3 linked regions of the Danio rerio genome follow. The protein of the gene in region 2 purifies or fractionates together with the protein of the main gene of each other region. This does not show direct contact. Links are inferred from orthologs where the notes say so. Each region holds a gene or a part of one and is shown on either strand. Other genes may lie near its edges.

Evidence for each region.
Region 1: the proteins of ttc4 (region 2) and hgh1 purify together in Homo sapiens (co-immunoprecipitation; 4 studies listed by BioGRID and IntAct, counting the BioPlex papers as one, with this or other methods). This does not show direct contact. The link is inferred for Danio rerio from reciprocal best matches to the Homo sapiens genes TTC4 and HGH1.
Region 3: the proteins of ttc4 (region 2) and edrf1 purify together in Homo sapiens (affinity purification with mass spectrometry; 3 studies listed by BioGRID and IntAct, counting the BioPlex papers as one, with this or other methods). This does not show direct contact. The link is inferred for Danio rerio from reciprocal best matches to the Homo sapiens genes TTC4 and EDRF1.

The regions. Positions count from the first base shown.
Region 1 is NC_133194.1:3,293,553-3,297,207, reverse strand, and holds part of hgh1 (protein HGH1 homolog), read right to left. Parts: intron 2,781-3,655; coding exon 2,680-2,780; intron 2,581-2,679; coding exon 2,482-2,580; intron 1-2,481.
Region 2 is NC_133181.1:33,194,935-33,199,311, forward strand, and holds the start of ttc4 (tetratricopeptide repeat protein 4), read right to left. Parts: upstream 2,871-4,377; 5' UTR 2,677-2,870; coding exon 2,566-2,676; intron 2,410-2,565; coding exon 2,292-2,409; intron 1,638-2,291; coding exon 1,476-1,637; intron 1,391-1,475; coding exon 1,313-1,390; intron 535-1,312; coding exon 410-534; intron 1-409. Other genes in the region: pars2 (probable proline--tRNA ligase, mitochondrial), read right to left, coding at 4,018-4,377.
Region 3 is NC_133192.1:9,925,902-9,929,556, reverse strand, and holds part of edrf1 (erythroid differentiation-related factor 1), read right to left. Parts: intron 1,926-3,655; coding exon 1,725-1,925; intron 1-1,724. UniProt on the Homo sapiens protein: Transcription factor involved in erythroid differentiation. Involved in transcriptional activation of the globin gene.

The sequences.
Region 1 (3,655 bases), on a different chromosome or scaffold from region 2:
ATACATCAATGTGTAAGATTGAATTGCAGAGTTACAACCAAGCAATGTTTGTCTGTGCAAAACTTTGTCATAATCCTATGTCCTGTGAATTAAAATTTTTGTTATTATCAATGTGTTAGTGTTAAGGATAGCTATTAGCTAGTTTGCTATAAAAGCTGTGACAAAATTAGCATTTAGAAGATATAAACATAGCTGGATCAATGATTTTTTAGACATCACCCCATGCTTTAGTTTCTCCTCAAATCTTCTGACCAATCGAATGCTCTCTAGTATCTGTCATGCCCCGCCCCCTTTAAGACACTTCTCATTTGCTTTTCATTTGACATGCTTGAGCTCAACCACTCTCACTGGCAGAGCTGTTATAAAACAAAACGCTATTGGCTGTTGTTGTTTTTTTAAGGGGGGAGGAGCTACTATATGTCCCGCCTACTCTTCATGTTTCGGTTGAGATTAAGTCAAACATTGAATACAAAATAAATCACATTTCAAAGCTTTAAATAGGAAAATTATCAACTATTTTTTTGGACATTTTTGAATGAAATGCTAATGGTCATATCCAAATCAACTCATTATGCTAAGCTAAGCTAAAAGTGACCCTGCTAGAACAAGAAATCTGCTGAATGGATTTAAAAACGATTTAACTCTAGGATACTTATAAATTCATTCATTTTCCTCTGCTTAGTCCCTTATTTATCAGGGGACGCCACAGTGGAATGAACCGCCAACTAATCCAGCATATGTTTTACACAGCAGATGCCCTTCCAGCTGCAACACAGTACTGGGAAACACCCATACACTACACCATACATTCAATTCCCCTATAGCGCATGTGTTTGGACTGTGGGGGAAACTGGAGCACCCAGAGGAAACGTTCACCAACAAGGGGAGAACATGCAAACTCCACACTGAAATGCCAACTAGCCCAGCTGGGACTCGAACCAGCGACCTTCTTGCTGTGAGGCGACAGTGCTAACCACTGCGCCATCATTCCCCCCTGAGACTTATAAAATGAGAATTTATTTTAAAATAAAGGTGGACTGTTCCTTTAAGGGATTGTTCAAATCTCAGAACGAGCAATAAAAACAAGGACCATTTGCCAATTATGCTGCGCACGCTAGTCCAAACATGCTGTAATAATATTAGTCTGAGGCTACAGCGATACAGGCTTCGCAAGCACTTCATAAAGGTCTCATAAGGTCACTTATTAACTAGGACGGTTCCTCTCTCTTTTCACAATGTGTTTTTCAAATGCTTTGGTCAGAGCAGCCTGGTGCAATAAGAGGAAAATATGTTATATATAAACTTCTCAAACAGCTTTTATGAAACCGCACGCTTTTAACAAAAATCTCTGGCTTCGCAAATTCACAACTTCCTGCTGTAATGGCAGAATTTCCACTCTGCTCGGTCCATTTTCCCTTCACATGCTGTGGAAATACAATAAAGCTTCAAGCTGAAGCACAACTAAATGAGCAAACAGCGGCATCTACTGGATAAACCAGAGTGAAGCAGAAGACTCAGTGGTTAGCACTGTCGCCTCACAGCAAGACGGTCGCTGGTTCGAGTCCCAGCTGGGCCGGTTGGCATTTCAGTGTGGAGTTTGCATGTTCTCCCCGTGTTGTTGTGGGTTTCCTCTGAGTGCTCCGGTTTCCCCCACAGTCCAAACACATGCAATATAGGGCAGTGGTTCTCAAAGTGGGGGTCGCGTAACAATGACAAGGGGTCGCTTGGTGATTTCCAAATAGTTTAATAAAACTTATTTGAGTTTTGGATGACCATATTTTACTCATAACCCACAGAGGATAATAGTAGTGTTAAATACACAACAACATACAAATAAACAAAAACAAAATTATTATTATATTATTATTATTATCTATTATAAACAAATAAAAATCAGTCATCAGCCTTTACGTTTTATATTATAAATTAATAAATGAATATAAAAAATATATATGGTTAATAGACTGTTGCATTTATGTGTTGTCAATGTGCTCATGTTTATACATGCCTATAGTTGTGTCTACAAGGTTTATATATTTACAGTGTAACCACCTTGAAAAATGGGGGTCGCGAATCACTGATATTGTTATTTTGGGGGTCGCGGGCTGAAAAGTTTGGGAACCCCTGCTATAGGGGGATTGATGAACTAAATTGGCCATAGTGTATGAGTGTGTGAATGGGTGTTTCCCAGTACTGGGTTGCAGCTGGAAGGTCATTCGCTGTGTAAAACATATGCCGGAATAGTTGGCGGTTCATTACGCTGTGGTGACCCCTGATAAATAAAAGACTAGGATGAAGGAAAATGAATGAATGAATAAATGATTATGTCCATTTGTTTCTGTCTTAAGTTTCTGGTTAAAAAAAAAGGAAAAGGAACAAAACTAAATTACCCTTGCTTCTGAATACCTGCACTGTAATGTACATCGTTTCATCAAAAACACTATTAAAAATAATAATAATATATTTTTTTTAAAGCGTCACCTTCATTCTCCTCCTCTGAGAGCTCCTCTGGTCCAGCCAATGGCAATAAAAGGAACGGTAAAATATCGACAGCATCGCTGAGCAGCCACTCATGATGGACTGTAAAGATAATACATCATATTTGATTAGAATTTTTGCTGCACAATATATCGTTTTGGGCACTAGAGATTATAAAGTTTGGTGAATGAACACATGTACCATAGTCAAAACAGCAGTTTCTGAGTGTTCCCACCACCCCTCCTCGTCTGGTGATGGACTCCTCATACTGTGTGAACGGCAGGAGTCTCTGAATCACACACCTGCACACACACACACGAGACTATCAACTTTCACCGGCTTAGATACACTCGTAGACTGTAAAAAAAAAAAAAGTAAATAATCTGTAATAAATTCATCCCATGATTATAATACCATCTTTTTGGGTATGTACTACATAAAAGTCATGTTTTTGACCCACCCCTACTGAAAAAACAGCCCAAACCAGCCTAGGCTGGTTGGCTGGTTTAAGCTGGTCGACCAGGCTGGTTTTAGAGGGGTTTTGGCCACTTCCAGGCTGGTTTCCAGCCATTTCCAGCCTGGTCTTAGCTGGTCAGGCTGGGAGTTGACCAGCTAAAACCAGCTTGACCAGTCTAGCCAGGCAGGGAGCCCAGCCAAAACCAGCTATTTCCAGCTTAAACCAGCCATTTCTAGGTCTTAGATGGCCAGGCTGGAAAATTACCAGCTAAACCCAGCTTGACCATCTAAGACCTAGAAATGGCTGGAAACCAACCAGGAAGTGACCAAAATCCCTCTAAAACCAGGCTGGTCAACCAGCTAAAACCAGCCAACCAGCTCAGGCTGTATAAGCTGTTTTTTTCAGTAGGGACACCATGATTTTTTGTTTTCTTTATGGACCTATACCATGATAATACTATGCTTTTTGATATTTATTATTGTAATATCATAATTTTTATTACACTTCTTAAAATACCATGTTTTTGGGCATGTACAACTAAAAGTCATGGTTTTAACACCATGGCATTTTGTTTGCTTTATGGTCCTATACCATGACAATATCCTGCTTTTGATGTAGTAATTGGTCAAACGCATGGTATAATTATATTAAGAAACAAAACACATATTATTACCATGTTTTTTACTACAATATTACATTTTACTAAATGGTAAAGCCATA
Region 2 (4,377 bases):
ACATTATTATCATTTATACCTTAGCAAACAGAAGTCCTTTTTTCCCTCATTTTAATTTTCAAAAAGTTTGTTTAAAATATCTGGATTAAACAAGTTATTCACCTGTTTTATTACATAATCAGACAATGAAGTAATGTATATTAAATTATATTACAAGGCAACAAAATAATGAATAAAGCATGGATGTTTAACACTCGGCCACGACAAATCGTAACCCTTTTTTTAAAAAATGTCATCACATCCCTGCGAGTGAGTAAATTTGATCAAACTGAAATGATTCTTTTTATAAACTATCCCTTTAAAAGAAATACTATCCCTTTAAACATATTTTGTGTTCAACAACATAAAGAAACTCTAATGACTGAGTAAAAGACAGTTTTCATTTTGAACTATCCCTTTAAATTTCTACCTTCTGTTTATCAGCTGTGGCTCTCAGCTCCTGTAGTTTCTTGTCAGTGGGAAACAACTTTAGACCTTCATCACACCACTGTAACGCTCCAGCGTAATTACGCAGCTCCAGCAAGCACTGTGCTCCTACATACAAAAACATGTCAAAATGATAGATAAACATTATACACTTTGTGTGCATTATTTATTTTTTTACACAAAATAATGCATTGATAATCATTTTTGAAATAATACATGATAAACAACAAGATTCTATATAATAGAATGCACTCAAAACTATAAAAGCAAGTGGTGGAAGTGTGCTAGTTTTTGTGATTGTTTTAGAACGTCCGATTGAGATGCAAATAGGAGAAATTAATAAAAAAAAACGGCAAAAAATTGTCAAACTACTTGCTCAACAAACAAGTATATGCAAGACTAATATACAGATAAAATAGATTAATATATTAAGAAAAAATCAGTTTGCAACATCAAGCAGCCAAACGAGCTGTTTTTAATGTCTAAAAATGAATGGAAGTGAATGAGACTGGAAGTCTTGAGCAAAAAAAGATTCAAATGGCTGCGCCGGCTAGTAGGTGGAGAATAAGGTGAATAAAAAGGCAAGGAAAAAACACAAGGAACTACCTTTGCATGTGAGCAAAATGGTACAACTCTCTCTCACAAAAAGTAAACTAAAACTCATCTTACAACATTTAACCTGAGATGTTTTTCATGTGGAGTATATTTACTGATCACACTCATTTGAAATTTGGTAACCACTTACGATGAAAACTACTAGAGACCTTATCTGCTGGATTTAGTGACTCTTCGCACATTCACATTTTTTCTTTACACAAAATAATGTAATATCAGAAACAACTACTTGCTATTTTCTTCTTGAAACAAACAAATATACACAACTCACCTCTTATAATGGCTTTATTGTGGTCTGGCTTCAATTTTTTTGCAGCTGTGGCATCATTTAAAGCCGAACGCATATTTCCTAAAGGAATCAGGTTATTAAACCAGAAGGAAAAACTAAATTATTCTACATAATACAAAATGTGTGAGGGGAAAACTGACTTTACCTAAATGGAAATGTGCAGCTGCACGGTTGGTGTACAAAACGGCATTGAGTTCAGGATTCACACAGCTCGTTTTCAATCCTTCTGTGTAGGAAACAACAGCTTTCTTGTACTTCTTCTCCTTGAAGTATTCATTCCCCTCATCCTTGAGACTTCTGGCTTTCTCTAGAATAAATGAAAAGGTTCAATTATATTGTATAAAATAAAATAATATATATTATATTTATATTTTTCAAGTGGTTATTTTTGTAAATGACAATATTTTTTTTCTTCCATATAATTCTAAAAACATACATTCTGTTACTGAAATTCACATCCTCTAGTGTGACACTGAATGCTGTATTTGTACCTGAATTTTAAATCAGGTAAATACACAGAAAACTTTAATTAGTTGAATCACCCTATTCAATGTCATGTGTGAAGCCACCAGTAAAGCCCATAAAGTTTTTGCCTCAGAATTTTTGGAATGACTATAAAATTAATTTTGTTGTCCTGTGCACAATATGAAGAGAAGTATCCAACAGTGAAGTTAAATCACTCTCACACTATTTGTATATTATTATTAAGAGCTATTTTTCTTTACTATGCTATGTCCCCCTACAGAAATTATTTACAGAACAGTAAAGAAAAAAAAAAAAAACTAAAAGAACTGATAAGAGTTTGTGACCACAGTTTTCTTAAACAGACAACATAACTATTTAATCTTCAAAAATAGGGTTTTAATTAAAAAAAAAAATCCCTATTTGTCAACTACCATGACATGTAATTTCTTCCATAAAGAACTCATTAATATTGGAAAACAGAAGAAGCTCCAGTTACCTTCAGGAGTTCTGTCATCATCGTGGATAATATGCTGGATACAGGCGAGATCAGGGTGTTTCTCTGGGTCAATGTTTTCTGGCGCTGTCTTCATGAACATGGGAACTTTTTCAAACTCCTGCAATATTTAAGAAGGTTATTTACACATCGGATACATGACTATTTGATAATAAAATACAATGTTACTGCTTTAACCACGTTAACGTCAAAATATATTCACCGATTATGACACGATAATGTCAGTGTGTTGTTATAACTAATCAGCAAGTCTTACCTCCTCCCAGTTGCTTTCGTTGAACGCATTATGGTATTTCTGTGTTTTAAACTTCTCCATAAATTCGTCCATGCCATCGTCGCTGTCTTCCCCTTGCGTTGGTGCAGCCATGTTATCTCCTTAAATTTATTCTGAAGTGTATCCCAGGTAGTTCTTGACGTATCTCACTACGTCACCGCGTTCAGATCGCAATTGTAGAGGAACTAAACATTAAACGTAAAATAGGATAAAACTGTACAAACCGTAGCAAAGATCCACATGCTCTCAGCAAACATCTGTTTCTCTGCTGCTCTCCACACGTCAATAACGCGTTACCGCCACCTGCTGGTATGGAGTCAAAAACTGAAAAGCAATACAGTAACAAAATTGAAATAAATAAGCATTAATAAATAAATTAGCATTTTTCTTGATTTTGAGTGTCCCTAATTAATTGCTGATAGTTAAGCTTTAATAATTTAAACAGTAATAAATGATTAAAGAAAAAAGAATGTCTGTCAGAAAAGAAGTTTAAAAAATTAAACTTTTTGAAAATTTGTGGGAACTGACAATTAAATATTTAAATTATAGAAACCCTGATATAGTAACTGAATAATAGAAACTGATGTGGTTTTACCGCATCAAATATTAATTTAAATAAACATGTATTCACCTATTTTCTGGCTATCAAAATCAGAGCCAACTAATTATTATTTTTTTAAATTATATTAATAAGAAGCACACCTGTAAAAGAGAACACACCAAGTTTTATGCAGATTATATTAAACTCACACTGATTATAAGTTGGTTCACTCCGATGTGGCAACTCCTGATGAATAAAGGGACTAAACCAAAATGAAAATGAATGAATGAAGATTAAATGTTGCATGTTTCCTACAGAAATAAATAAAAAATAAAAAATAAAAAATAGGCATAAATATTTTTGGTGAATCTTACCATTTCAGTCGCATTTTTTGAATCATGTTTTTTTATTTTATTTTTTATTATCATTATAATTTTTTTAAGCTTTTTTAGATAACCTTTAGTTCCTTATTAAAAATATAATATCTAGCAATGTCCTCCCTGCAGGTAAAAAGCTTTAATTTTCCTTTAGAAACAATAATATATGACAAATATTAGACAAAGTTATGATTATGCTAATGAGCAAATTACATCATCTATCAGGTTTTCGGGCAGGTTTTTTTTAAAGCAAGTTTGCACTGACAATCTTGGGCAATCATTGCCATTGTTCATAGTCTTCATGGCCTTTTTTCTTTTATCACTTACCAGTGCTTTAAATAACAATAAATTCCACTATGAATCTTAATTGCTCTACAGAAGCAAGAACACATTACAAAATTGTTACAAACAGACCACTTTAATAATCAACATTTTCTTGTTATAACACTTATAATATTTATACATCACACTCTTTTTCTCTTCACCATCACCTAGCCTGATAAATGTACACATATATTAGATAGTTTCAACCGTACTTAAAAGATCAACAAGCCCATCTTTACTCAAAAAGAGAGTCTCTCCACTTTGCTGACAAACCACCTCAAAGCTGGCCAGATCATCTAGAGCCGTCTGGCCCACCACCACCACAAATGGATACCCCAGAATTTTAGCATCCTTCAGTCGTTTCCCAATGGTCATTTGAGTCCTGTCATCCAGTACCACCTCACCTTTCAAATTTGGAAGACTATTTCCCAAGCTTTGAGCCAGTTCCTCAGCCTTCAGTGTGGCTTCATGTGCTTTACTTCCCTTTTTAGGTGGCAGGACACACACTTGATAGGGAGCTATCAATCCAGGCCAGCGAATGGCATCCTCTGT
Region 3 (3,655 bases), on a different chromosome or scaffold from region 2:
TCATTTAACTTATCCTTGCGTTAAAACACGTTACCTGAGAACAAGTAATAGATTCAAAAGACCAAAGTCGGGGAATATATCGTTAGATATAGATAACAAGATGAAATAAATGTCACGTTTAACAAATATAGTGAGATTGGATCCAGCGGTAGATCCTTGATGAAGATCTGCCCCCTTCAAGACACTTGTCAATTGATCTCAACAAATAACTACAAAACACCAACGAAATGCTATTGGCTGTTTTTAAAGGAGAGGAGCTACTCTGTCCCACCCTGTTTTCATTTTTCAGTTGAGATTACGTCAAACATTGAATAAAATATGCACATTTTAAAGCACTTCACTAGACTTTTAAGCCTCAAAAATTGCACTTTAAAATTGCACACAAACAATACTAGTATTTTTTCAAAATAACAAGAAAAATATTATGATAAAAGAACTATCGTATTTAAAAATGTGTGGCAAATATCTTCTCTCCATTATACAGCACCAAGGACATATTTGAAAAAGACTTTAAATTTCATAATTTTATGAAACTGTTTATTCCACCTTTCCCCTCCCCAGCACTTACCTCACTCTTGCTGTAACGGTTATTAAAGTGCTATCCATTCAACAAACTCTTGATTGCTTTGACTTTCGAATATGCAAGCACATAGACTGTGTGAAAATGTCCTTACCATGACATCCCTGTTGCATTAGTCTCAAGTAAGCACCCAGTTTAACTTGATTGTTTGATTGCAGCTTATATAGATAGGCTGTAGTATCAAAGTAAAAATAAAAAAACTGTTTATGCTAGGCTACGGTGCAATTACACATTAGTAGTCTGTCATTTATGGTATGGCTATTTTTGTTTCCCTGTTAACATACTGGCACAACTCTCAAGTATTATTGCTAAATAATAACTTCAAAGTAATTTACAGACGTCAGTCAATTTAAAATGTAATTAAATTCTTGAATAAATTTGAAGACCTTCCCCTTCACACTCTGTTTCAAGGGCAAAGGGTTAGCGGAAGGGGTACATGCCAGCTGTGCTGTCAATTTATAAGTTTTGCTACGGTTACGCCATCCATCCACACTACACCAGAGTTTTTGAGCACCGAAAATGGAGCGATTTGGAAACACTGGAGAGGCCGTTTTCATTCTAAAACACTGCTGCTCCATCTCAGTGTGGATAGGGGGGAAATAGAGACATCTAAAAACGGAGCACATATACTGTGTGAAAATGTCCTTTCCATGACATCCCTGTTGCATTAGTCTCAACTAAGCACCCAGTTTAACTTGATTGTTTGATTGCAGCTTGTTTAGATAGGCTGTGGTATCAAACTGTTCATGTTAAGCTACGGTGCAATTACACCATAGTAGTCTGTCATTTATGGTTATGTTTGAATAAACCAAAAAAAAATAATAATAATGATAACTGATCCTGGGATGCATAATATAAGTACTACCTGTTAAAATTTTACTTTTAGTATATTTCAGTTTCTGGTCAATTTTAATTTCAGCGCATCCCTAGTTATTTTTGTAAAGGCTGAATCTAATATGCTGATTTAGTGCTTGGGAAACATTTCTGATTATTACCCATGTTGAAACAGCTGCTTAATATTTTGTAGCAACTGGGATACATTCGTTTTAAATAACTACTGATTGAATAATGCATCATCTCTGACCATCACACCATCGTATGATCTCTCCATAGCAGAAAGAGCGTGGGAATTCTGCATACAGACCTTGGCAGGAGCTCTCGCGGTGCAGGCAGTGGAGGATCTCCTGGTCATCTTTGGTCTGATAGCTGTACTCCTCCAGATACGCAGCTCTGTTTGAGGCATTCTGGGCCAACATGAGCTGAACATCTCCACACAGAGACAGACACTGGCAGTGGAAAAGAAGCACCTGTGCGTGGAGACCGCCACTAATGGAGCAGTATGCATCTGCAAAGGAACAAAGCATATACAAATCAGGTTTGAATGGTTTAGCTTTAAATAATCTGCTCACTTTTGAAAACATCATTTAAAGGAGTCATATTATACCTTTCTTACAAGCCTTAGGTGTCTTATGTGAAATTTCAGCTCAAAAATACATCGTGAATTATTCAAAATATCAGCCATTTTTTTGTGCGTCTCTTTAAATGCAAATGAGCTGCTACTCATGCCTCATTTTCATAACAGGGTGGAGCCTTTACAGTCTGTGCCTCAATTACTCAAGCTCAGGGTTGCCAAGTCCTCAGGTATCTCGTGGAATTGGGCACCGTTTAATTTGCCATAGGTTTGGTTTTGTTTTATGCGAGTTAAAACTGTGCATCAATTATATTTATATGGTTGCACTGAAATACATAACATTTCTATTCCACCAGAGATAAAAAAAAAAAAAAAACTGTGCCAGGATGGTAAAACTGAGTAAGTGCAATAGTTTACAGCAGTCTTTCTCAAACACGTTCCTGGAGGACCCACTACTACTGCATGTTTTGAATATCACCTTTGTCTATCACACCCATTACCGGTCTTTCCGTCTTTGCTAATGAGCTGAGGATCTAAATCAGATGTTTGGTTAATGTGACATAGAAAATGTGCAAAGCTGGTGGTCCTTCAGGAACGTGGTTGAGAAACAGGGTGCAGGAGATCTGGAGGAAAGACTAAGTAGGGCTATTTTTGTTTCCCTGTTAGCATACTGCAGGGCTCGAAATTGCGACCATTTTGGTCGCATATGCGCCCGAAATTTAAGCTATGCGACCTCATAATATATATTGGGAGCATTCGTGCGACTGCATATAATGGTTGTAGTGCGACCTGTTTTGTTTTGTTTTCTAAAAACGTGCTGAATCGCTCTTCCCTGCCGCTATATTGGTTCATATTAGCTGTCAATCAGTCAAGACTTTCCGCTGTCAGATGACAGGGAGGGAGCTTTTGTGATCGCGGGGAATGCAAACGGCTGAACAGTGAAAAGTACACTGAATCTGGATGCGTTGCATGCACTGCGTGGTCAGCCAACACAATCTCACGGCAATTCGTAACTTTTTCATACGTTTCCTCGTGAGATCAGGCTGCAATAGCGCAAATGTCCGCTAAAACACCATCTCCAAAGAAGCTTGCCTTTACTGAGTTTAAACTGATGCGGGTTATAACAAAAAACAGTATAGCGCCGGTGTTCATCGGGAGAATCCTGCTCTGCCCTCCTCATATTGGGCCGGCTGACTCGCATGCTTCTCCGCAAACACAGAAAAATGTAATTCAGCGCGTAACGAAGCTGAGCATTAAAACGACACAAACCGAAACCAAAACTTTTAAAAGTGAGACTTTTCTTGCTATCTTTTGTCTGTTCTTTCTTGAGGTGTATATTATTTTTCTATTTAATTGCTGATGACTGCTTTGCAGCTTTCAGTATTGGATTGAATGATTTATTATATTATTTTGTTTGTTTTGTAGCAGAACTATTATTTATTAAATTGACATGCATATAAAAACAATAGTACAAAACAAATATTTCTTACTACAATGCTTCATTTGTGTTTGATGCAAACCATCAATTTATTTTTCATAAAGTAACAGCAGGACTTTATATAGCATAACTTACATTAAAGCACATTCAAGGCAGCATGATGATGAGAAATATAATTCATTATTAGTATTATTGTCATCATCGTCATCATTAATATTTTATAATT